Caenorhabditis elegans: one gene and its partners. The protein of the gene in region 2 interacts with the protein of the main gene of each other region in a pairwise test. Each region holds a gene or a part of one and is shown on either strand. Other genes may lie near its edges. The genes, in order: mif-3, end-3, pah-1 and T27A8.2.

Region 1 (4,832 bases), on a different chromosome or scaffold from region 2:
AAAGAGGAACGAAGAAGGACGAAGAGCCTACTTCTAAACTGTATTCTTCTTCTTATTTTCTATGTTTCTCGAGAGGCTTTTCTCGAGGTTGTGGAAGCACTAAAATACACAGATAGAATGAGGGAACTGACACACTGATACATTTCAACGGTAAGTGATATATACAAGACAGAGAGACATGATGATTATTACGCAAACAGTGTAGTGGAGAGGAGTTCGCGCGGATTATTGCTCTCGGAGCTGGCAAAAAGAGCGGGGGCGCTGCTCTTTGGCACGACTGTCAAAGGACTAACTAGGACTAATTGTAAGAACGGGATGATATTATCAAATTAGATAATTGACACATGAAACGTGGCTTATTTTCAATTTGCTTATTATTTAGGCTCCTCCCACGTCTCACATTCAGTTTAATTTTTAATTTCTCACAATCTGTGAATTTTTAAGCAAAGGGGGAGCTATTTAATAAAAAATTCATTACACAAAAACGAAGTTGCGCCAAAAATACGGTACCCGGTCTCGACACGACAATTGTTAGTAAAATTCAAAATGGTGTGCGCCTTTAAAGAGTACTGTAGTTTGAAACACTCGTTGTTGCGTAACCTTAATCGCCATTTAACAGTTTTGCTCACGTATTCTTCAAAGACGAACATACTTTTACATTTTGGAAAAATTTGTCGAGACCACACACCAGACACCGTATTTTTAGCGCCAAAATCACACTAATAATATTACATTTAAAATCTCATTTTTCCGAAATTTTGATTCGGAAATTCCAAAAATATAATGAAATTGGGAGAACTTTTTCAGATTTATGGTGGCAACGAAATGAGGGTTCAAACAAGTTTGGAGATCCTAGTATTCTGTCCGAGCCTATTTCGACAGTTGGACCCTGACAAAATTTCGATTAGATCTTCGATATTTAGAATCTCCTCTCAATCCGAACTTCTGAGTAGTGCCGTTTCTCATGTTTCTCGCACTAATTGTAAGATTGTTTTGATAAACTTTTATTATGATTTTACAATTATTTACAAATGAGTTACCGTTTGGGTTAAAATTTTTGAAAAGTGAATTGAATTGAGGGAATGCAATTATGGAATTGAGTGTTCAGATATATTTGAGGAATTGAAGGAGGAATGCAAGAAACGCAATGCCTAGAACTCCAATAATGAAGCGAGCACGATCTGTAGAGATGAATGGTCGATTTTCGGTAAGAATATGTCCATTGAATCCGATAAGTTCCGGGCTTAGCGATCGATAATTAATGAGGACTGCGTCAGAATCTAGAGCCAGCTCCTGCGAGAAGAATTCACAGAGAGCAACCGTGTATTCTTCGGTGAGAATCGGAGTAAGAACTGTGGATGATGTGACATCTAAAACAGCTAAGGGATCAGTCAATTGTCCTCGCGTCATTCGAGAATTCATGTCGAGCTGAAAAAGTTGATTTAACTGTCGTGAATACGATATCATAAATTGAAATAATTATAGTTACCTATTCAGAAATGAGTAGTTGTTTTTTAACAATATAGTAGTGTTCGGGTAAAATTATAAAACTACTCACCGAGACGAATATCTGGCTTTCAGGACGTTTCATCACTTTCGCCATATGAATTGCAAGTCGGACCTGAAAAAATTAGGCTTATTTTTGAAGAAAGATTTAATCTTACCTCGAACCCATCGGATACTTTTTTGACATTTGTTTGCACTTTGATGACGGGCATTCTGCACACAAAAATGGTGAAAACTGGGGATTTTACATACAGTGAAGATAGATATCGAATGGTATTAAATTCCGATTAATTAGGGAGAGTTAAATAAACTTTTTGACAAGAAAAACAATTTTTATTCTACCAACAAGTAAAAACGATCAATTAAAGGCCACAAAGAGATCGCAGAGCTTCACGGACATCTCCATTTGTTTCGATAAGTTTGGCACGAACTGTTCCTTCTTGAAGCTCTAATTCATTCATAATCAGTTGCAGATCCTCTTTCTTGATATTAATCTTGGGCCGTGCGGGAGCAGAAGCATTGAACAAGTTTCCAAGAGCGTCAGTATTGAGCTTCAAATCATCTTTCTCTTCTCTAGTGTCGGATACCTGAATAAATGAAGAATTTTAATGGAAAAATGTTAATAATGCAAATAAAAATCATACTTCTGGAATGTAATGCTCATCGAAATCACTCTCTTCCCCGTTCGAACTCATGCTGAATTCAGCCTTCAAAAAACGAGAATATTCGATGGAAGCAGTGGGAGGGAGAGAAACGGGTCGCGATTGTTACACCCCCAGGAGGAGAGCAAAATGCATCTATTTGCCCTCTTGGACGAGGATGAAAAGGTTCAGACGGACAGAGAGGACAACTCATCGCGCATTATTTTTGAAAAAATAAATTGAATTGAAACTCACTTTAGAAAGTTCTTCGCTTCCCCAGTTGTGTTTGTCCACCTGTTGTTTTTCGTCTTCCTCGCCCATATTCTAGAATAAAGGTTAATGAATCAGATAAGAAAAAGGTAAACGGTGCAGCGATAAATTAAAAGTAATAATTCAGAAAATATATCGCTGGAATTTGTAATAATCAGCTCTTTCAAAAATAAAAACTGAAAAAAAAATCGGCAAAAAACAACACACAATTGCCAACAAGACTCCGAAATCACGCGATGCGTGTTGTTTACTCTGTCTTGTGTAAGCGCGGTAATTTAAATTCTATTTTTGGTGCGCTAAACAACGACCAGTCGTTAGAACGGAGTGTCGTTCGGCACTTTTAAATTATTGATGGTCCTCCATTTTCCGAGTATTTTTCCTGTGTTTGTCACATTTCATGTCGATTTTTCACTAAATTCTCTCTTTTTTTTACAAATTCAATTTTCTATGTAGTATCGAACATTCGGTGTTTTCTTACAAATTCTGTCTTGCGTCAGAACGTTGAAATAAAACTGAATTCCTTTTTACGTCACATATGTTGATGCAGACGAATCAAAAACATTTATGATTCAGATTGGATTGATAAAAGGAGAACATCCTCCATATTTTATTCCATCTAACTTTGTCTCATGTTTCTGTCAAGTTCTTGCACACGAATTTTTTGTTTTTCCAGTTAAAATGATAATATTCTTTTGAATTAACTGAAGTGGTTTACCATAATTGGTGAAATCGGTTTATTTTTCACCGGATATGCATGCATGAATTGACTTTTCCGATTGCGCAACATTTTGTTTTATTTAGAAAACCACTCGAAACGCGTTTCATTTCTATTTTTCGGAAATCTGCCCTTCCACTTATATGTGTAATAATCAGTCAGTCATCAAAAATATTTTCTTTAATTCTCCATTCTCTAAGTCAGCTGAATCCGAATCGATTCGAACGAATTGGCCGTCGTCGTCGCAGACACCGTCGTCCGTGACCAGTTGGGTGCCTAATACGCACGATAGGACAGGTTCTTCTTGGGTTATTCAACCATTCTCCCCGCTACATTTTATACATCTAAATCGCGGTTTTAGCGTTCTCGTATCTGTGTCTCTATCCTTCGCCAATGTACCAAAAAACATAATTTTTTGAATAAAAAAGTCTGCTATGTTGAACTTATATTGATCTCCTCAAATGTTTGAGATATTCATGTACCTTAATTCATTTTGAATTAGAAATAAAAGGCAGTTTTTTTTCAAATTTTTGTCTCTCGATTTTTTGTATGATGAATGTGAAATTGAAAAAAAGTAACGAGAATTATAAAAGATCTTAAGGATCATTTTGGAATTAATTAATTAAATCTTCAGGTTTAAGATAGAATTTCAAGTTTTAATTAAGGTTCCCAAACAGAAAAATTCTCACTTTTCGTCTCAAAAAATGCTATCTCTGCCTGATTCTCTTTGTTTGTAGAAACTCCATTTTTCATTTCATTCAGCCAGCTACCTGACTGTGGCAACCAACAATCAATATTTTCTTTTCACATTAGCGACTCGTCAAGGACGTCGTCGTCCACCATTCCTTTTTATCAACCACCGGCGTCTCCTTTATGGACACTATTCGCGGTCCCCACACACATCGATTGGTCCGTAAATAACGCGCTTTGTGTTGTGCGCACGATAGTTAATGTTGTTTAATACTTACGAGTCTCACAAAAACCATAACTGTGTGATACCCTTTTGATAGAGTCAATATCGTTATTTGTCCTTCTCCTCTTTTCTTCCCTCTTGTGTCCTAACAATAACCGTCATCTTCATAGCCATCTAAACAACGAACCTTCCTACATGTTCACATTTTTGGGTGTGCCCCAATTCGATTGGTTTTCAACGACATTTCTATCTTGATTGTCTCATTTGGTCTTCTTCTCCGGCTACTTGTGGTCGAAACCTTCATGTTTTTAGTTATGTACTCCTGGTTTTTTGGATGAAAAAAAATCGTCAGTTATGCATCAGAAGGCCGACATAGTGTCATGTTTCTTTCCCTAAATATCTCTCACAGTGTTCATATTCTCGTCGAAAATATTTAAAAGGGAAACGAGAAGAGCTGAAGGTTTTAATGAAACCCTGCAGAGAAGAAAGGGTGATTAGCCATTTTCTTTGTGGGTCGATTTTCGGCTTTTTCGGGTCAGCAGCCCTTTCAATCATGTCACCTTTCGCTTTCCTATATGATAACCTCTTTTGGGTAGTGAAAATAGCAGATCTACACCCCATCCTTCTCATTTTCGTATTCAACGGAAATTGAGAGATGAAAGAAAGGAAGGAAGAAGCCGTGACGGATGACCAACCGATTTTTTTACTTCGTTCTTCAACGGTTCGTTCTGTCTCTCTTATTTGCATTTATATTACTAGCCACTGTTCAGTCACTCTTTTTTTACAC
Region 2 (5,251 bases):
CTGATGAGTTCTATGCTGGAATTCTTCACGTACCTACAGCCATCGAAGTGACCGTTCAATTGTTCGGAGCATATATTATTTTAACTAAAACTCCGCGCAAAATATGTTCTGTAAAGTTCAACATGGTCTTATTGCACATTGTGGGAGCAATCGTCGATTTATATCTAAGCTTTATTGCATCTCCAATGCTAACACTACCTGTCAGTTCAGGATATCCTCTTGGATTCTCTTTAATATTAGGTATTCCAACTGATGTTCAGGTTTATCTTGGATGTGTTTTTGTTGGGGGTTAGTTTATTTTGAATTGGCTAACTAATGGTAATAGTATAATAAATATAAAACGTCTTATTGAAAACAGAAGCTTTATTATGTTTTCAGTTTCGATATGAATTAATCTAATCTCAATAACAAATTATTTGATTCCCAATTTTTTTGTGATGTCTTTGGCTTTTTATTTAAAGAAAACTTCGTGCCAAATTTTGGCAACGCACCTTTGACAACTTTCTGTCCAATTTCGGCAGTTTTCTGTCGAACCTTTGTAACTTCCGAGAGTGAGTAAGTTGTCAAGGTTTGAGAGAAAAATCCCAGAATTTTACAGTAGGTTGTCTAAGTTTGACCAAAAGTTTCCAAAGTTTGGCAGAAGATTGACTAAGTTTGTTGGAAGGTTGGACAGAGAACTGCCAAAGTTTGACAGCAAGTTCCCCAAGTTACGAATTTAATGTTTACTCTAGGGTTTTCAAGCTACTATTCCTTTTTAAATTATTCAATTTGAGAGGAACCGAACAATTCAATATATTTCAGTGATGTGCGTGGCTGTAACCATATTCTTCGAAGATCGCTATCACCGACTAATACATGGGCATACAACAAACGGATCACTGAACTGGAAACGTACCTTATATGTTGTATTAAATTATACTATATCAGTGACGTTTATTATTCCCGCATATTTAAAACTACCGAATCCTGAAGTAGCAAAGCAATATGTGAAAAATGTGAGTTTTCGTTTTTTTTTTGAAAGCTTTAACCAAAAAGTGAATTACAGATAAATCCATGTATTCCAAATGAAGTTCTCAATCGTCGGGAATATTTTGTATTTGCCACTGATAATACAATAGTCAATGCCTGTCTTTTGAGCATGTTCTTCATATGTCTTCCCCAAAAATTGTATTTTCTCGGAGCAATTTTTCGATACTTTTCCCAAACAGTGTCTCTCTCGGCAACTACTGCTCGCTTACAAAAGCAATTCTTCTATTCAATGTGTATTCAAATATTTATTCCAGTTGCATTCATCTCATTACCAGTTTCATATTTTGTCATGGCTTCGGAAAATGATTACTATAATCAAGGTAAAATTAAGCTGAAATTTGAAAAAAAAAATCATTTTTCCAGCTGCCACAAACATTGCGATGATTGCAATTGCATGTCATGGAGTTCTTTCCACTATAGTCATGCTTATTGTTCACACTCCACACAGGAAATCAATTCTTGCAACACTACATTTCAAATCTGAACAAGCTGTTCGAAATTCACAATTGATCTGGAAAACTGTAGTATCAAGAGCATGAAGTTTTTTTATTTATTTATTATGGAAACCAGCAGAGGGGAAATAAAACAAATAGTTAAATTATAACCGAAAGGTCATGTTTGATTAGAAAAATAATAATGCTTATTGCACAGAGTTGATCAGTTAAATCAAAAATTAAAAGCATTAGAGTCAACAAGTGGAGCAACTGGACGGCGTCTTCTCTTGGCAGCTGGCTTATTCCAAAGATGTTGTGGTCTTTTATGTCCTTTGACTCGTTCGTAAAGATTACACGGACTGAAAAATATGAGATTTAAAAAACTCAAGTTCAAAACTTTTACACCTAGAGAGCCCTCAAAAAATAGTGAAAAAAATTTCCACCAATTTTTTTTTGAAAATCGTCGATCAAAAAACAGACAATGCTTTGAATTTCTCGATAAGTGGTTAAAAAAAGAGTTTTTACTACTTTTCGACATGAATAAAACATTTCAAAAAGATGATAAAAAGTTTCATTGCGGTATCTGGTAACTTTATCAGCATAGGAATGATTTTTAAACATTTTCTCACTGACTGTAATCGTAATTTAAATAGAACATTCAAAATAATTCAAACTTACTTGCACTCAGTTTCTCCTTGCTCATTTCTCCTCCACAATTTCGTTTCCCGACATCCACAATTGGAGCACGAAGAGTTGATATGCATTGTGGAAATCTTCTTGATTTTATTTTTCGAAGCTTTTCTAGCTGGCTTCCATTCTTGAACTTCTTGAGCTGGAAAAAAGTTGAAGCCCCCGTCAATTGGTATCTCTGGCATGGAATTTTCATTGTTGTCGGGATTGGTGTGGTTGATGGAAGTTTGAGATTGCTGGAGGTCTAAAATAAATTTAAGATTAGGCTGTAAGTTTCATAGTTAATTATACCATTAATAGGCGTCGTGAATTCAAATTGATTTGTAAAATCAAAATTTTGAACTGGAAATTGAAAATCAGGCATCTGTTGATAGTTTTCATCTGAAACATTAATTTTAAATATAAAAGTAAAATAAAATAGTTTTTTAAAACTCACTGTAGTATCCTGCACCATTATCTGGTTGCATAAAATTCTGTTGCATTGAATTGTCATAGCCTCCATTGTATGAATTTGTCGTCATATCTTGTGCCGGATAATGATGATAATTCATATTCTGGAGGACATCTGGAGATGGTGTCCCGTAGCCTTCTTCATTGAATTGGACTTGTTCGGGAAACTGAGGGAATCCAAAATCAAAAGACATTGGTGAGTTGGAAGATGAAGATGATGAAGAGAATGAGTTCGAGTACATGTTTATACTTTGAATGAGAATGCCTATTCATTTATCTTGGAGCAAATCATGGTAAGAAGAGGGCGTGCCTCAGCGTTCCGTATACTTTTCAGCAACCGCCTTTTTCTAGAAGAGACACAAGGCGGGGTGTGCTTTGAACGTGGTATACTTTCAGCTATTCATCTAACCGATTATACAATCAGTGTATACTCTTTTGTCGGAGCCATCGGAACACTTGGAACATACTTGTTTGGTATACTTTTACTTCTTTTTTAATTTACCGTGGGCTCTCTCAAATAGAAGTGCATCTCGGATTTAAACTAAAAGTATTTGTTTCATAAATTTTACTTCAATAAAATTTCCATTTTAAACACAAATTATCATTCGGAAAGAAGTTTTTCACGTGCGAGAGTGAAAGAGTAGAGAGAAAAAGAGGGAATTTGAAACACGTGAAATTTAGAGAGGTTCTGATAGGGGAACAATTAAATTAAAATACACGTTTGCATTTTAAAAGATCACATGAATAATACCATAACACGTTGCTCTTGTTTTTTATTTTTCCAAAAACTCGATTCTCTCCAAATCCAATCATTCACAATTTTAACGGAACAAAATTTTTTGTAATTGCTGAAAGAGAAAACTGATCCAAATTAATTGAATATTTATTAGATAAAGTTGTGTAAAGCTCGACATGCTTGTATTTTCTTCTTCTTTTTCTGTTCAATTCTCAACCAACAAATATTTTTGGTAGTTGAGAAATCTGCGTCAAATTACCGCTATTCCCGTAGATCTACGAAGATCAAACCGATATGGGACACTCTGACACCACGTGGGATATACTGTAGAAACTGCAAAAATTAATTGGCGACAGTACTATTTAAAGGAACACACGCCTTTGCGCGAAATATTTTTTGTTCGCGTCGAGACCTACACAGTGAGTCTCACCTTTGAGCCAAAAGATGCATTTCTCAAAATTAGGTAAAAAATGTTTGAAAAGTCCAAATTTCGTTTCAGTCAAAAGTTTGCAAAACTCTTATTTTACTTTGTGAACCCCAGAACACCCATTAACAACAGTTCAAAGCAGGTGAACAATTTCATATATCAAGAAAAAAGAAAAAGTATTCAACATTGTACAAAGAATCAATATTTTAGTAGGACTGAAGTTGGCGAAGTGAAATGAATAAAAGTTTTGACACGGATATGAACTAGAACAAGGTTGAAGAGAAATGCAAATTGTACAGAAAATATGAGAAGGGAAATAAATATACACTAAATTGGATGCTATGAGACGGTGCAGTTGGAATTGGAATTTCTTGTTTGATGCGGCGGTGCAACTCGATTGTATTCTTCTTGTTGTAGAGAACGAGCCAGAGCTTCATCTCCCTGGAAACATTTGTGATTTAGTTAGTTGTTTTTTTGAAAATAGATACAAACCTCTGTTCTTGCTTGTGCGGAACATGGATTCATTCGGGAACGCGCGATTGATGTGATTCTGGAAAAATACCTTGAAATTCGATTTATTCAAAACAATAAACTTACGAATCCGTCCAGCTCTTTTTCTGATTTATCTTCATTTCGCCAACTTTTCGCTCACAACTGTGATCCCGCTCGTGTCTGTGAGAAAGGCAGTAGTTGTTTCGACATTTTGAGCAATTCATGGCTACCAGCTCTTTCTTCTTGCATTTTGGGACGGTACACGCGTTTGAATATACTTTTGCACGTTTCGGAGTCTGACAATTGTTCTGAATGTGCTCATTGACCTGAAAAAGAAACAATTTTTATCAATATTTTTGCAGGAATAATTTCAAAATAATTACTTGTTGATCAACATTGACATCTTTCGGCGTTGGAACTGGCTTCTCACATATAGGACAAATAGGAACTTGAACGGACTGAAATTTAATAATTTTAATCTAAAAAAAGATTTTCAAACACTTACAATTCTTGAGCCAGTCGGACAATTATGAGCCTCAAATGTGAAGTGCTCTGAGCAGTAGAAATGTCCACAACCGGAGCATTTGATTGGAAGAAAATCTGAAATAATTATTTTTTTATTTAATTAATTTTTTTTAAATGTTGACTTACCAAGTCTGTTGCAAACTGTGCTCTCACAGTGCTTTCCGAGATTTGGGAACTCCGCCATAGCTGAATAAAGCAAACGATATTGATAGGAAACGAGAGAATATAGACTTTTAAACACAAGAAATGATGACAATTGGAAAAATTCTAGAATTTACCAGAAATGCCAGACATCGGGTTACGAAATTATTGATTTTTATATATTATTGAAAGCTTTTGGACTTTTTAGAACGAGAAAAAATTGAATAATTCAATTTCAAGATTTTTGAAATCAATATCAGCTGATTCGCTAGAAAACGTGACGCTTTCAGTATTTCGTGACGTCACTGCGTACAGCTGGATTAAAGG
Region 3 (6,805 bases), on a different chromosome or scaffold from region 2:
CGATCCAGCTTTCCAGAGCACATATCTACCGTTGGTAAAATTCCCTGTAAAATTGGATTGATTGGCCAAGGAATCAAAACTTCGTGGTGGCTCTCCATATTTTTTTGTATTTTAATATTTTAATACCGCTTGTAAGTTACCTTTTATGCAGGCGAACTTGCATACTTGCAAGTTCAAATAATTGGAAGTCTATTTTTAATTTCTGAATAGTTATTTTTCCAGTTTACCTTCACCACTCCAGAATCGTTCCAAGCTCTGCCCATCACTGGTTTTCCGTGTTTATACCATAATGCGACGTACTTATTTGTCTCACCAGGAGCTTTTGCAACATTTGGTGGAAAAGGTGTGCCAACTTTTTGTAATGTCCAAATATCGTCTATGTTTCCCTGAATAAATCACTTGCAGAATGTTTGAATGCGTGCAATAGCCATCAAATAACTGAAAGCCACTCACCTTTTCCATTGTGAACCCTTTCCTATCCATTAAAAATTTAAAACTGATTTGATTTCACTGTTCCGACCATTTTTTTCTATCTGGTTCACGTAATAACGAGTTTTCTGCTGAACAAGTTTATTTAAATTTATTTAAAATATAGATAAAAATGGAAGGTCAGATTGGATATCTTCCACGCGACTCGGTGCATTCAAGATATAAGATGATAACGTAAACTGATGATTATCCCGGCAGTACCTCCTTCCTTTTCCTTTTTCGTACATTCCATCAGTTATATTATTGGTCTGTTGAGTCCAGCTATATAAGGATGAATATTGATGAAATTAGAAAGGTATGTTTGATCCATTTTTCTCAATATTATGATATAATTTTTGTACATCGAGCTCTTTATTTATACTAGTCCAACGTCAAACATTTGCATTTGTAATAAGAAACTGATGTTTGCCAAATTATCTGAAAAAAAAAATCAATTTGCTAATTTTGAATATTTTAAAAATACTTTTTTTCGGCCATACTTTAATTTTTCAAAAAGAGGGTAACAGCTGAAAATACATAAATACAAAGTCCTACCAGGCGGCCTATGCCAGCCTCTATTGCCAAAGTATACGTGATATCCGTGGAAGTTACAATCTAAACAAAAATTTGGTCAAAACTACGGAAATTATTAAAAAAAATTATAGAATTTGTTATCATACTATTAGAAAATTGTTAAATAATTTCAATTAATTAAAAACTGTTTGAACCAAAATATTTTGCTATCTTCAAAAGTGTTATCATCCTTATATTTTCCCCTGTTTTCATCGAAACCGTCGCTGATCAGTTGATCTCGTACACGAGTATTTTCAAAATTTCTCCATTTTTTATGATCAACCATCGACTAAATTAATTGTTTCAATGCTGTATTACTGTTCCTATTTACCTCATTGACATAGACATCTCAGATCATGGTCTGCAGAAGATTCGCGTTGCAAACGAAAATTTTCACGAAAAGTTGATAAAAGCCAGTCGGACATCATCAACTATTGATCGTTTCTGCCGTTTTCAAACTGATTTATGACATCGTCTTGTCTCATCCATTCATATAAATTTCTTTCTTCTAAATTTATCATCCTAAAATGTCAGACATTCAACCAAACGTCCTCCTATATATTTCCATCTAAATATTCCACGTCTTCATCTCATCTCATTTTCCTTCCTTTTCACAATACAAAGGATGCGTCAACCAGTTTTCATTATTGTGTTCTGTTGATTTTTCTCAGCGTCCCCCTCCTACTTTCGATTCGATACACCATGATTTTATGGCTTTTACCGTAACCCATTTGATCGTTTCAAAGAAAACTTGGTTTTTTCTTCAATCAAAACCATTGAAATGTCTGTTTAAGGTCAAAAACTAAAATTCGAGAAATTTGAGGAAGTTGAAAAAAAGTTTTGAACGAGGCTCGTCACAAGGCAGTCGTAAGACTCCAAATTCGGTAAATTTACTCAACAAAAAAAACCTGTTTCAGTTTCCCCTTTTTCAGCATCGTGAAAAAATGAAACATTCCACTATCCATATTTAAGCTTCATCAATTAATTGAAATTGAAAAATGACTGTATGTAAGCACATACGCCTGAAAAGGCCTACAATCCAATTCATACCCAACGTCTTAAATTTCAACTCAACTAGAAACAGAGATTTACATCTATTTTACGAAGAAGATCCACTGGGGCATGCTTTCTTTTGGAAGTTCAAACTGTATTTCATTGATCATAATCATATCTTTTATTGTTCAGGCGTCCATTTGTCTGTGATCTATTTCATATCATTTTCCACGTGCTTTCAAGTTCATCATCTGACTGTTCTTCTTCTTCTTCGTATTTTTTTCAATTTCTTCCAACCGTTCTTCTATCTCACACTACACTCTAATGAAAACCCACGTGTAGGTTGTGTATGGGTAGCCGCGAGTCTCCTCCCACGTGGATTTTTCTCTGCAGAATGGTATTGGGGGCCACACGAATTATCTAGTTCATAGGCCACGCCTTGTATCTCTAGGCTTCTGAGTCTCCAGCTATTTCGTCTCGTATAAACGGCAACGTACGGCTCACGTTTTGTCTCTGTTTAATTCTTATTTCCCGGTGACTGTCTATTCCTCTGAAAACCAAATCTTGTTCTCTGAAAATGCCACCAGCTGGACAAGATGATCTTGACTTCTTGGTGAGACCTTCCTTGTTTGAACTGATCAAGAAAAACTTCTGTTTGAGAATTTTGTGTAAAATTATTTCCAATTACTAAAGTCCAACTTATTTCAGAAGTACGCCATGGAATCGTACGTTGCTGACGTCAACGCCGACATTGGCAAGACTACTATCGTATTCACTCTTCGTGAAAAGGCAGGAGCTCTCGCTGAAACATTGAAGCTGTTCCAGGTTAGTCATGAAAAAAACCAGACTAGAAATGTCAGAGGATCATGAGACTTCAGAGGATGACTATTGCGTCAGCGACACTTTTTTTTTTAAATCTTATGATTCTCACGTCTACTCTTGATCAGGCGGTTTAATATTTTATGCATCATAAAGCGTTGAATAATATGATCTTCAATTATGTTTAGACGGTTGAGTAGACATAGAAAAAACATTTATATCAAATTAAAATTTGAAAATTTGCACCAAACTGTTTCTAAATATGATAAGAGATAAACTACGTAGTTGCATTTTTTAATCCGGTTCGCGATTTTTGATTATCAAAGATGTCGAAAATCGTGTCACGAGAAAAAGAGATCATATCAATTGTCTCAAATTCCTACCAATTACATGCTTCATTACACATTCTTGCAGGCACATGATGTGAATCTGTCTCACATTGAATCAAGACCATCAAAGACTCATGAAGGATGCTATGAGGTGCTCGTTGAATTTGCTGAAGCTGAAGACCATCGTAAGATTGAAGGAGTTATTGAGCATTTCCAACAAAAAGCTGAAAAGAAGGTTCTTGTTCAAGACTGGAACACCAAAAACAAACAAAACAAGGGTACGCTATAACAATAATGAAACTCACAGTATTAAATTCAAGAGCTTTGTAGATTCTGTTCCATGGTTCCCACAGAAGATCAACGACATCGATCAATTTGCCAACAGAATTCTTTCTTATGGAGCTGAGCTTGATGCCGATCACCCTGGATTTAAGGACATGACCTACCGCGAGCGCAGAAAGTTTTTCGCCGATATTGCATTCAACTTCAAACAGTAAGTCATTTCATCAACAAAAGTAGCAATATGTGCCAATAAATATGTAACATTGAAGGCGTACTGAATAAAATCCAAAAAATCCGAATTGCAACCTGATCGTACTTTCCAGCGGAGACAAGATCCCTACTATCACCTACACTGATGAAGAAATTGCCACGTGGCGTACAGTCTACAACGAGCTGACAGTTATGTACCCGAAAAACGCTTGCCAAGAGTTCAACTACATATTCCCACTCCTCCAGCAGAATTGTGGTTTTGGACCTGACCGCATTCCACAATTGCAGGATGTTTCAGATTTTTTGAAGGGTAAACAAATCATTATCATCTGATTGTTTTTGTATTTGTTTCGTGTTCAGATTGTACCGGGTACACGATTCGACCAGTCGCTGGTCTTCTTTCTTCTCGTGATTTCTTGGCTGGTTTGGCCTTCCGTGTTTTTCATTCCACACAATACATTCGCCATCATTCCGCTCCAAAATACACACCTGAACCGTGAGTTTGAACATGATAATTTTAACCGAGGGTGGGATTTCGTAAACGACTTTTGCTTTGAAAAAATTGTGAAAACTCTATAGTGCAACATAAAAGGAAAATAAAATCTAATCGGTTGATTATCATCTGGATATATTCTGAATTTTTGACAATAAGCTGGAGATGTAACTTTCAGAGATATCTGCCACGAGCTTCTGGGACATGTTCCACTATTTGCTGATGTTGAATTTGCACAATTCTCACAGGAAATCGGTCTTGCTTCTCTTGGAGCTCCAGATGATGTTATTGAAAAACTTGCCACAGTATGTTTGAACATTGAAACCCCCTTTTTATTTTGAAATATTAGCTCTACTGGTTCACAATCGAATTTGGAATCTGTCAACAAGATGGGGAGAAAAAAGCTTACGGAGCCGGACTTTTGAGTTCATTTGGAGAGCTTCAATATGCGTTGAGTGATAAGCCGGAAGTTGTAGATTTTGATCCAGCTGTATGTTGTGTCACCAAATATCCAATCACAGAATATCAGCCAAAGTATTTCTTAGCTGAATCATTTGCAAGTGCTAAGAACAAACTTAAGTAGGATCAAATAGTCAGTTTCAACTGTAATCTAGATAATTTCAGATCATGGGCAGCTACCATCAATCGTCCATTCCAAATTCGTTATAATGCTTACACTCAACGAGTTGAAATTCTCGACAAGGTAGCAGCACTTCAACGTCTCGCAAGAGACATCAGAAGTGATATTTCTACTTTGGAAGAAGCTCTTGGAAAAGTGAACAATCTCAAGATGAAGTGACTTTTTGATTAAATTGTTAATTTGCAAGAATAAATGTACATTGTTCTCAATGTTTGTTGAATTACAAAGAAACCTGAACAACAATTACAAATTTGTCCATGCTGCTCGATTTACAGACGATTTTTAAACTACCTACGATGGAGTTACAACTATGATGACTGTTCTAAAAAACATATCATATTCCCTTAACTCCTTGAAAACAGGGAAATGTGAAAACTAATTAATTAAAAATAGTGTTCACCGTCGTTGGAAGCAATGCACTGAAATGAAAATAAACAATTCGAAGCCTTGTTCACTTCCAATTGTTTTGTTTTTTTTCTCTCGCCAGGATTAACGCGTATTTTTCCAACATTTTTCCGGCATCTGAAACGATTTCCTTTTCAGCAATTACTTTATTTGAAGCATCACATGAAAAAAGTGCGAAAAATTGGTGTGAGCACCAAAATGTTTCCCAAATTAAAGCCAGTTATCCATTTTTGTTGCAAAAACCACGTCATCTACGACAGCGAGTGTTTTGGTGTGAGTGATCTAACTGCGAAAAACGAAAACTGTGCATATAAATTGTCATGCATTTTTGATTATTGTTTAGTTTTTGTGTGTGTGTGTGTGTTGTACGGAAGTCTCGTTGTGTGTCCAAAATGAAGTGCTTTTGACTTCATCTGCAAAAAGAAGTAAAAACTGGCACTGAGTTCTCAAAACTAGGTTATGCAAATGTAGAGGTCTAGTGAAACATTTGTATGTGCACTTTGTTATCATTTTAAAGGTGCGGCTCCACGTACATTTAATCAATTCTTTTTCTTCTTATGTTGTCTTCCTTTCTTATCATGATTATTACAAGCATGCGTTTTCAACTCCTTTTCAATTCATTTTTTTTGGAAATTAAATTGAATTTGTGTTTAATCAAAACATCAATTTTCCCAATTTTAGTATCTAGTTGGCACTTGTGTATTATTTCCCTTATTTTTAAAAAATAAGTTTTAATATTTTAACCATAACCAGGAAATAACCGTAAAGAGGGAAAATGAACATCATGTTTTATTAAAATGGATAAATATATGGAATTTAAAAATGAGGGGAAATAATACACAAGTACCATCTATTTTACTTTAAAGATTGGCCAAATAATACATTCGGGTGTATTTTTTGTTTAATTTTTTGCAAATCTTCAAAGAGTAATCCTTTTGTTTAACCAATTGTTTCACTATTAAAATATGATTTTGATAGAATAAAATAATTGGAAACATATAGTACTGCCAGCTGTGTGAACATGCACACTGTTTGCATTCTCAATCGAATATTTTCCCTCTTTCCCTCGACCCACGATTTTATTATTTTTCATATTTGGAATGGAAGACGGTCAGCTTTTTATAGTTTTTTTTGTCTATCAAATAAACTTTTTTCAGAATCAGATGAAAAACATTTTTAAAAAAACTCAAAATTATATCTAAAACACGAACATTTTAAATTATGTTAATTCTTTAGAATTTTCCCAATTATACTTTAATTGACAAAAAATCAACTGGAAAATTTTTTCAACAAAAAAACATTTCTTTTCCTGTTTTACAGTGATTCACATAAGCATATTGAAAACTTGTGCATTTGTTTCTTTTGTCCACAACTTTTTTCCGAATCAAAACGAAATTTTCTTCGAGACATAAAAAACTGATATTTCAAAATTAATTTTTTTGTAAAAAGGCAGTTTCCCTCGAAAAACTTGAATGCTTCGTATTGGTTTCAAATGTATTAAAAAAATCAGCGAAATATTGATCAACTTTTATTGCAATATATTCATAATGTACACTTCCACCTCCTCCCTTTCTCGTCTCTCCATGCAAAACT
Region 4 (5,421 bases), on a different chromosome or scaffold from region 2:
AAAAGCGAATTTAGCAGCAGGGAGGATGGCTACCTGCGCGAGTGGCCACAAAAATTGTTTTTAAAAGATTTTTGATCTAAATTAAAGTTTGAAGGTGGACTAGCTAGTGGTTTCAAACTTAAATCCGACTCGGACTTGAACTTATCTCAAATAACTTTTGAAATAGATATCTGAAACAATGCAATTCAGTTTTGATGACAGCTCAGTATCGAAAAAAAAACAGAGTTTTGCTAAAACCTCAAGTCATATTAATTTGTCTGTGTTGCAGCTGTTGGAAATTATTTTGCAAATTGTCCGCCGTGCTACGGCACTTTTATAAATGGTGCCAGTCTCACTTTTTTATTCGATGACTTTATTTTTTGCGCCCCATCTTTTCTCAACCAAAAGGGGTGTACCAAAAGTACCTGTTGTCAATTGGATTTATTGATATATTATGATACTTCGTTATAGATCATCTTCTTGTGGGACACCCTGATATGGGACCATTTACCATTTTCACAGTTAATAATGTTTAACGTGGTTTACAAATAGAATTTGACGATTTATTTTTTTTTTTGGCAAAAGTCCCAATTTCTGCTAGATTGAAAATTGAACAATTTGAAGCTGCCCATTGAAATCAGTGCAAAATTCTGATATTAGAAATATATACTTTACCCACATTTAGTGTTCATTTTTCAGCACAAATTGCGCCATTCTACGCCACCGCGCCACGTTTTCATGGCGCCAACTCAACGCAATCAGTGACTCATCCTGAGCTGGCAACATGGTCAAGTGTGGTAAAGCACTCGACCGTGGAGTCAACAGTCGAGGGTTCAATCCCCTCACCGAACCAAGGTGGTTCTGAGTTGCTCACATGCTCAGATAAGTGGAAGTTCGGAAGATTGATGATCAAAAAGGTGGTGTTGAATCTTATTGTTTCATTCAACATTGACAAAAGATCGAAAAATGTTTTTTTCATTTTCATAGAATTGTCTTCAACTAGGCTTATACTCTTTTCACTCTCTTTTTCTGCTTTAGTTTCCCACAGCGTTTGTCAGAAATAACAAAGTTTGTATGATTTTTTTCCAATTTTTCCGGAAGAAATTTATGTTGGTAGGAATGTTTTGAACTGGAAACTTTTTTATATACAGAATTGGTTCAATAAAATCTAAAAAGTGAATAAGTTGAATTAATGTATAAATGAAATATTTTTATGAAAAACTTGTCAAGAGATCACCCGGTTGAGGACATCGAATACATCCGTCCAGCAAGATCCGTCTGCAAAACAATTTTTAATATAATATGACTGAAATTTCCATGGCAACATACCATTTCCACCTGATGCTCCACATATTGCTTCAACTCGTCTATATCCTTTCGAAACTCCTCCTCAACATCCAGAATATCCTTGTTGCCGTCTTCATAAGCCCATAGTCCAGATCTCACGTCTCTGCAAATTGAAAGTATAAAAAAACATATACGAATAGTTTTTGGAGTTATTTCTTAAGTTTTTTTTGGAGTTATTCTTAAGTAAGTGCTAGTGATTAAATTTAGCAAAATTTATAAACCAAAAAAATACAGTTTTTATGAGTATTCACATATTTTTGTTTTTCCAAAAAACTGATAAAAAGAAATTTTGGTGAAATTTTTGGAGAAATTGTGGGGTTCTTATCAGGGCTGTGCGGCAACCGGCAATTGCCGAAGTTGCCAAACCCAAAAAATTTTGGCAACCGGCAAATTTTGGTTGCCGAAATTTCGGCAAATTTTTGGCAACCGGCAACTTGGTTGCCGGTTGCCGCACAGTTCTGGTTCTTATGTCTAAATTATATGAACAGCAATTGTATGATTTGGCTATATAACTTGTTATCTGATATTTTTTAGCAGAACTTTATTTTTATTTTTTGTTGTAATTACATTCTGGATTTACTTGAATTTGTTGAAAATTATATGAAAACCAATTTTTAAACGCTACACGCAAATCTGACAACAAAATTCAGTTTCCGATAATATTTGAAAAAGAATTTGAAATGTTTCAAATTTTTGTTAAAAATATTTCTACAAACTTCACAAAACTCACCTTTCTCGACGAAAGCACAGTTCGGTGTCCAGAACCCAGGCCACATGATTAACAAACTCCCATTTGTACATATCGTGAAACACTTTGTAATACGGGAACAAGTCGGTGATCCACTTGACAACTACTTCAATCTCCGGAAACACGTCATCCGCTTCTTCCATCGCAGCACTGACCAGGGCGACCATTTTGAACTTGGGCATCGCCATTTCCGGATGATGAAGCCCCATAATTTGGTTCATTTCGTGAGTGAAATACGTCATGGTAGCTGAAAATGAAAATTTACTTAGTTAGTTGAAGGTTCTCAAATTTATTTGCCACGTACATAATAAAGGAAATACAGAAATGTCTTGTTTTTTTGGATCTTATATTGCGGCAACTTGCCGAGTGGGAAAAAATTTAAATCGTGCAGACGTCAGATTCAGTTAGGCGAAAATTACATGAAAAATAACAAAAAAAAAACCACAAAAAAGTATAGCTGTGGATATGAGAGAATGGCACATTCAAATGTCAGCAAACGGCCATAAACCATCGATCGATAATAGTGTGCGGAAGACGAGGGCAGACCTGTCGCGCGACTCACGCATTGCAGGCAACACCAACTTGTCGTAGGTCAAATCTTGACACGACAACGAACTCGTAATGACCAAATCAAAAGGAAACAAAAAAATTGAAAAAAAATTGAATTTCGAAATTATGAAAAGTTTGAGTCGGCTATATCTGAGCATAGTTGAAGGTTTTATAAAATTGATGATTGTAAAGATGAAAAAAAACTTTAATTGAAGATGGACAACGGCCTGTGGGAAAAGATTAAAACTCGTTCACATTAAAATTTAAAAATGTCCAAATATCATAATAAAAATATTCAAAAAAAAAGTTACCTTCAGTTTTAAATTTGACTCACGTTTCCAGTAATCCTATTTTAATATTGTTGGGATTCAAACAAGCAACAGTGTTTTGGTTTCTCCAAAATTGGCGCACGATCAGACCCGAAATAAAAAAAAATTCCACAAATTTTTAAAAGATCCATTATAATATTTAGTCATTTCCTAACTGTTAGAAGGATTGTTAAAGCTAAACAATTCATAAAAATTTCCATAAAAGTTATTCATAGAAAAACATGGAAAAACAGAAAATTTTCACAAAAATATTAAAATGAAATTTTTTCCAGAAATAAGCAGAACAACAACGGCATATCTTGCAGCAAAAAGAAATGCCGCACTACTAACAAGGAAAGAAAGCAAATCTAGTTCCGGACTATGAATCTTTGAATTTCCTGCCAAAATGTTTTTTTTTCTCAGGAAATTTGAGTTTCTCGCCTAAATTTTTTCTTAGAAAATTTGAATGTCCCGCCAATAACTATGGGACTCCCCCCGGTAATCCAAATATAGGCGCAAAAAACAAAAATGAAAATTTTCAAAGTTTAGAAGAATTCCTATGGTATTCGACAGAAGTTTTTTCACAAAAATTTTGGAATTTTGGTAGGGTTTCCATAGATTTGGATTCTAAATTTTTTAAAAGATTATGGATAAGTTTCTGGACCTACAAGTTATATTCTAGCCGCGCTAGAGGGGTTTTTGTCTTCAATTCATTTTTTTACATACATATGATTGCACTTTTTTGCAAAAAAAAAATTTTGGAATTTTAGGAGAATTTCTATGAAAATGGATTGCTAATTTTTTTTAGTATTACGTTTCTGGGTCAAGAAATTCGTTTTTGGTCGCGCTATAGGGGTTTTTGTCTTGAATTCCAATTTCAACAGGTTTCCTCAATATCAACAATTTCAACAGGCACAAAAAAACAAAAATAAAAATTTTGGAATTTTGGGAGAATTTCTATGAAAATGGATTGCTAATTTTTTTAAAAGTATTATGGGTACGTTTCTGGGTCAAGAAATTCGTTTTTGTTCGCGCTACAGGGGTTTTTGTCTTGTATTCCAATTTCAACAGGTATTTACAGGCACAAAAAACAAAAATAAAAATTTCGGAATTTTGGGAGAATTTCTATGAAAATGGATTGCTAATTTTTTTTTTAGTATTATGGGTTCGTTTCTGGGTCAAGAAATTCGTTTTTGGTCGCGCTACAGGGGTTTTTGTCTTCAATTCATTTTTTTACATACATATGACTGCACTTTTTTGCAAAAAAAAAATTTTGAAATTTTTGGAGAGTTTCTATGAGAATGGTTTGCTAATTTTTTTTTAGTATTATGGGTACGTTTCTGGGTCAAGAAATTCGTTTTTGGTCGCGCTACAGGGGTTTTTGGCTTGAATTCCAATTTCAACAGGTATATACAGGCACAAAAAAAACAAAAATAAAAATTTCGGAATTTTGGGAGAATTTTTTTAAAAATGGTTGCTAATTTTTTTTTAGTATTATGGGTACGTTTCTGGGTCAAGAAATTCGTTTTTGGTCGCGCTACAGGAGTTTTTGTCTTCAGTTCAAAACATTCCTACCAACATAAATTTCTTCCGGAAAAATTGGAAAAAAATCATACAAACTTTGTTATTTCTGACAAACGCTGTGGGAAACTAAAGCAGAAAAAGAGAGTGAAAAGAGTATAAGCCTAGTTGAAGACAATTCTATGAAAATGAAAAAAACATTTTTCGATCTTTTGTCAATGTTGAATGAAACAATAAGATTCAACACCACCTTTTTGATCATCAATCTTCCGAACTTCCACTTATCTGAGCATGTGAGCAACTCAGAACCACCTTGGTTCGGTGAGGGGATTGAACCCTCACAGGTGATTCGCGGCTCATGCGTGGCGCGTCTCACACGCTTCGCTCACGCGTCTGAGAGGACCAAGCGAAGACGCGCGTCACGCATGCGTCAGGCGCGCGTAGCGAAAGCAAGCATGCTTCACGCGTGCATTGCGAAAGGAAGCATGCTTCACGCGTGCGTTGCGAACGGGCATGAGTACGGTAGAAATGGGTCCAAATGTAGCGGCCGGAAAGACATGAAGCATTTTTGGCTCATGAAAGCCCCAGAACAAATAATTTTGGTTGATTGTAGCAGAATTCGTAACAAAAATAACTTCATCTGAACAACAAACAAAAAAAGCAGTAATAAAAGAAATTAATAAGAAAAGTAACAAACCAATAATTAGTTGCAATATTAATTAATCAACAAAAACAGCTCATGATGAAGCTGGGGCTCCAGACGTTCCCTCGCCGCCAGCCTTCTCCGTCAAATCCCCCATGTTTTCCAAATCAGCCGAGCCTTCTGGACTTTCGACGAAAATGAGCTCATCCCTGAAATGGAATTGGTATTCAATTTTATCACGAACTATTTTCAAATGTTTATATTATTTCGCTTTTTCACTATTTCAACTGTTCAAATTTTAAACTGAAGAAAATTCTAAATTCGAT

Evidence for each region.
Region 1: the proteins of end-3 (region 2) and mif-3 interact in a two-hybrid assay, tested with the Caenorhabditis elegans proteins (one large-scale study listed by BioGRID).
Region 3: the proteins of end-3 (region 2) and pah-1 interact in a two-hybrid assay, tested with the Caenorhabditis elegans proteins (one large-scale study listed by BioGRID).
Region 4: the proteins of end-3 (region 2) and T27A8.2 interact in a two-hybrid assay, tested with the Caenorhabditis elegans proteins (one large-scale study listed by BioGRID).

The regions. Positions count from the first base shown.
Region 1 is NC_003279.8:7,311,807-7,316,638, forward strand, and holds mif-3 (MIF-like protein mif-3), read right to left. Parts: upstream 1,720-4,832; 5' UTR 1,719-1,719; coding exon 1,665-1,718; intron 1,622-1,664; coding exon 1,559-1,621; intron 1,429-1,558; coding exon 1,105-1,428; 3' UTR 991-1,104; downstream 1-990. Other genes in the region: F13G3.10 (Nascent polypeptide-associated complex subunit alpha-like UBA domain-containing protein), read right to left, coding at 1,869-2,093, 2,403-2,468.
Region 2 is NC_003283.11:14,012,295-14,017,545, reverse strand, and holds end-3 (GATA-type domain-containing protein), read right to left. Parts: upstream 2,852-5,251; 5' UTR 2,846-2,851; coding exon 2,590-2,845; intron 2,535-2,589; coding exon 2,445-2,534; intron 2,398-2,444; coding exon 2,142-2,397; intron 1,823-2,141; coding exon 1,696-1,822; 3' UTR 1,569-1,695; downstream 1-1,568. Other genes in the region: srh-308 (Serpentine Receptor, class H), read left to right, coding at 1-288, 802-995, 1,046-1,349, 1,393-1,568; aip-1 (AN1-type domain-containing protein), read right to left, coding at 4,106-4,207, 4,259-4,316, 4,364-4,584, 4,642-4,716, 4,764-4,858, 4,910-4,967.
Region 3 is NC_003280.10:8,760,878-8,767,682, reverse strand, and holds pah-1 (Phenylalanine-4-hydroxylase), read left to right. Parts: upstream 1-2,471; 5' UTR 2,472-2,611; coding exon 2,612-2,647; intron 2,648-2,742; coding exon 2,743-2,859; intron 2,860-3,267; coding exon 3,268-3,460; intron 3,461-3,512; coding exon 3,513-3,675; intron 3,676-3,787; coding exon 3,788-3,984; intron 3,985-4,034; coding exon 4,035-4,170; intron 4,171-4,345; coding exon 4,346-4,472; intron 4,473-4,516; coding exon 4,517-4,746; intron 4,747-4,791; coding exon 4,792-4,966; 3' UTR 4,967-5,061; downstream 5,062-6,805. Other genes in the region: nsph-1.1 (Nematode Specific Peptide family), read right to left, coding at 1-44, 228-386, 454-483. UniProt on the Caenorhabditis elegans protein: Catalyzes the hydroxylation of L-phenylalanine to L-tyrosine. Catalyzes the hydroxylation of tryptophan to 5-hydroxy-L-tryptophan. Plays a role in the biosynthesis of a melanin-like cuticle pigment.
Region 4 is NC_003284.9:16,056,619-16,062,039, forward strand, and holds T27A8.2 (Fork-head domain-containing protein), read right to left. Parts: upstream 2,328-5,421; 5' UTR 2,317-2,327; coding exon 2,057-2,316; intron 1,430-2,056; coding exon 1,309-1,429; intron 1,258-1,308; coding exon 1,213-1,257; 3' UTR 1,058-1,212; downstream 1-1,057.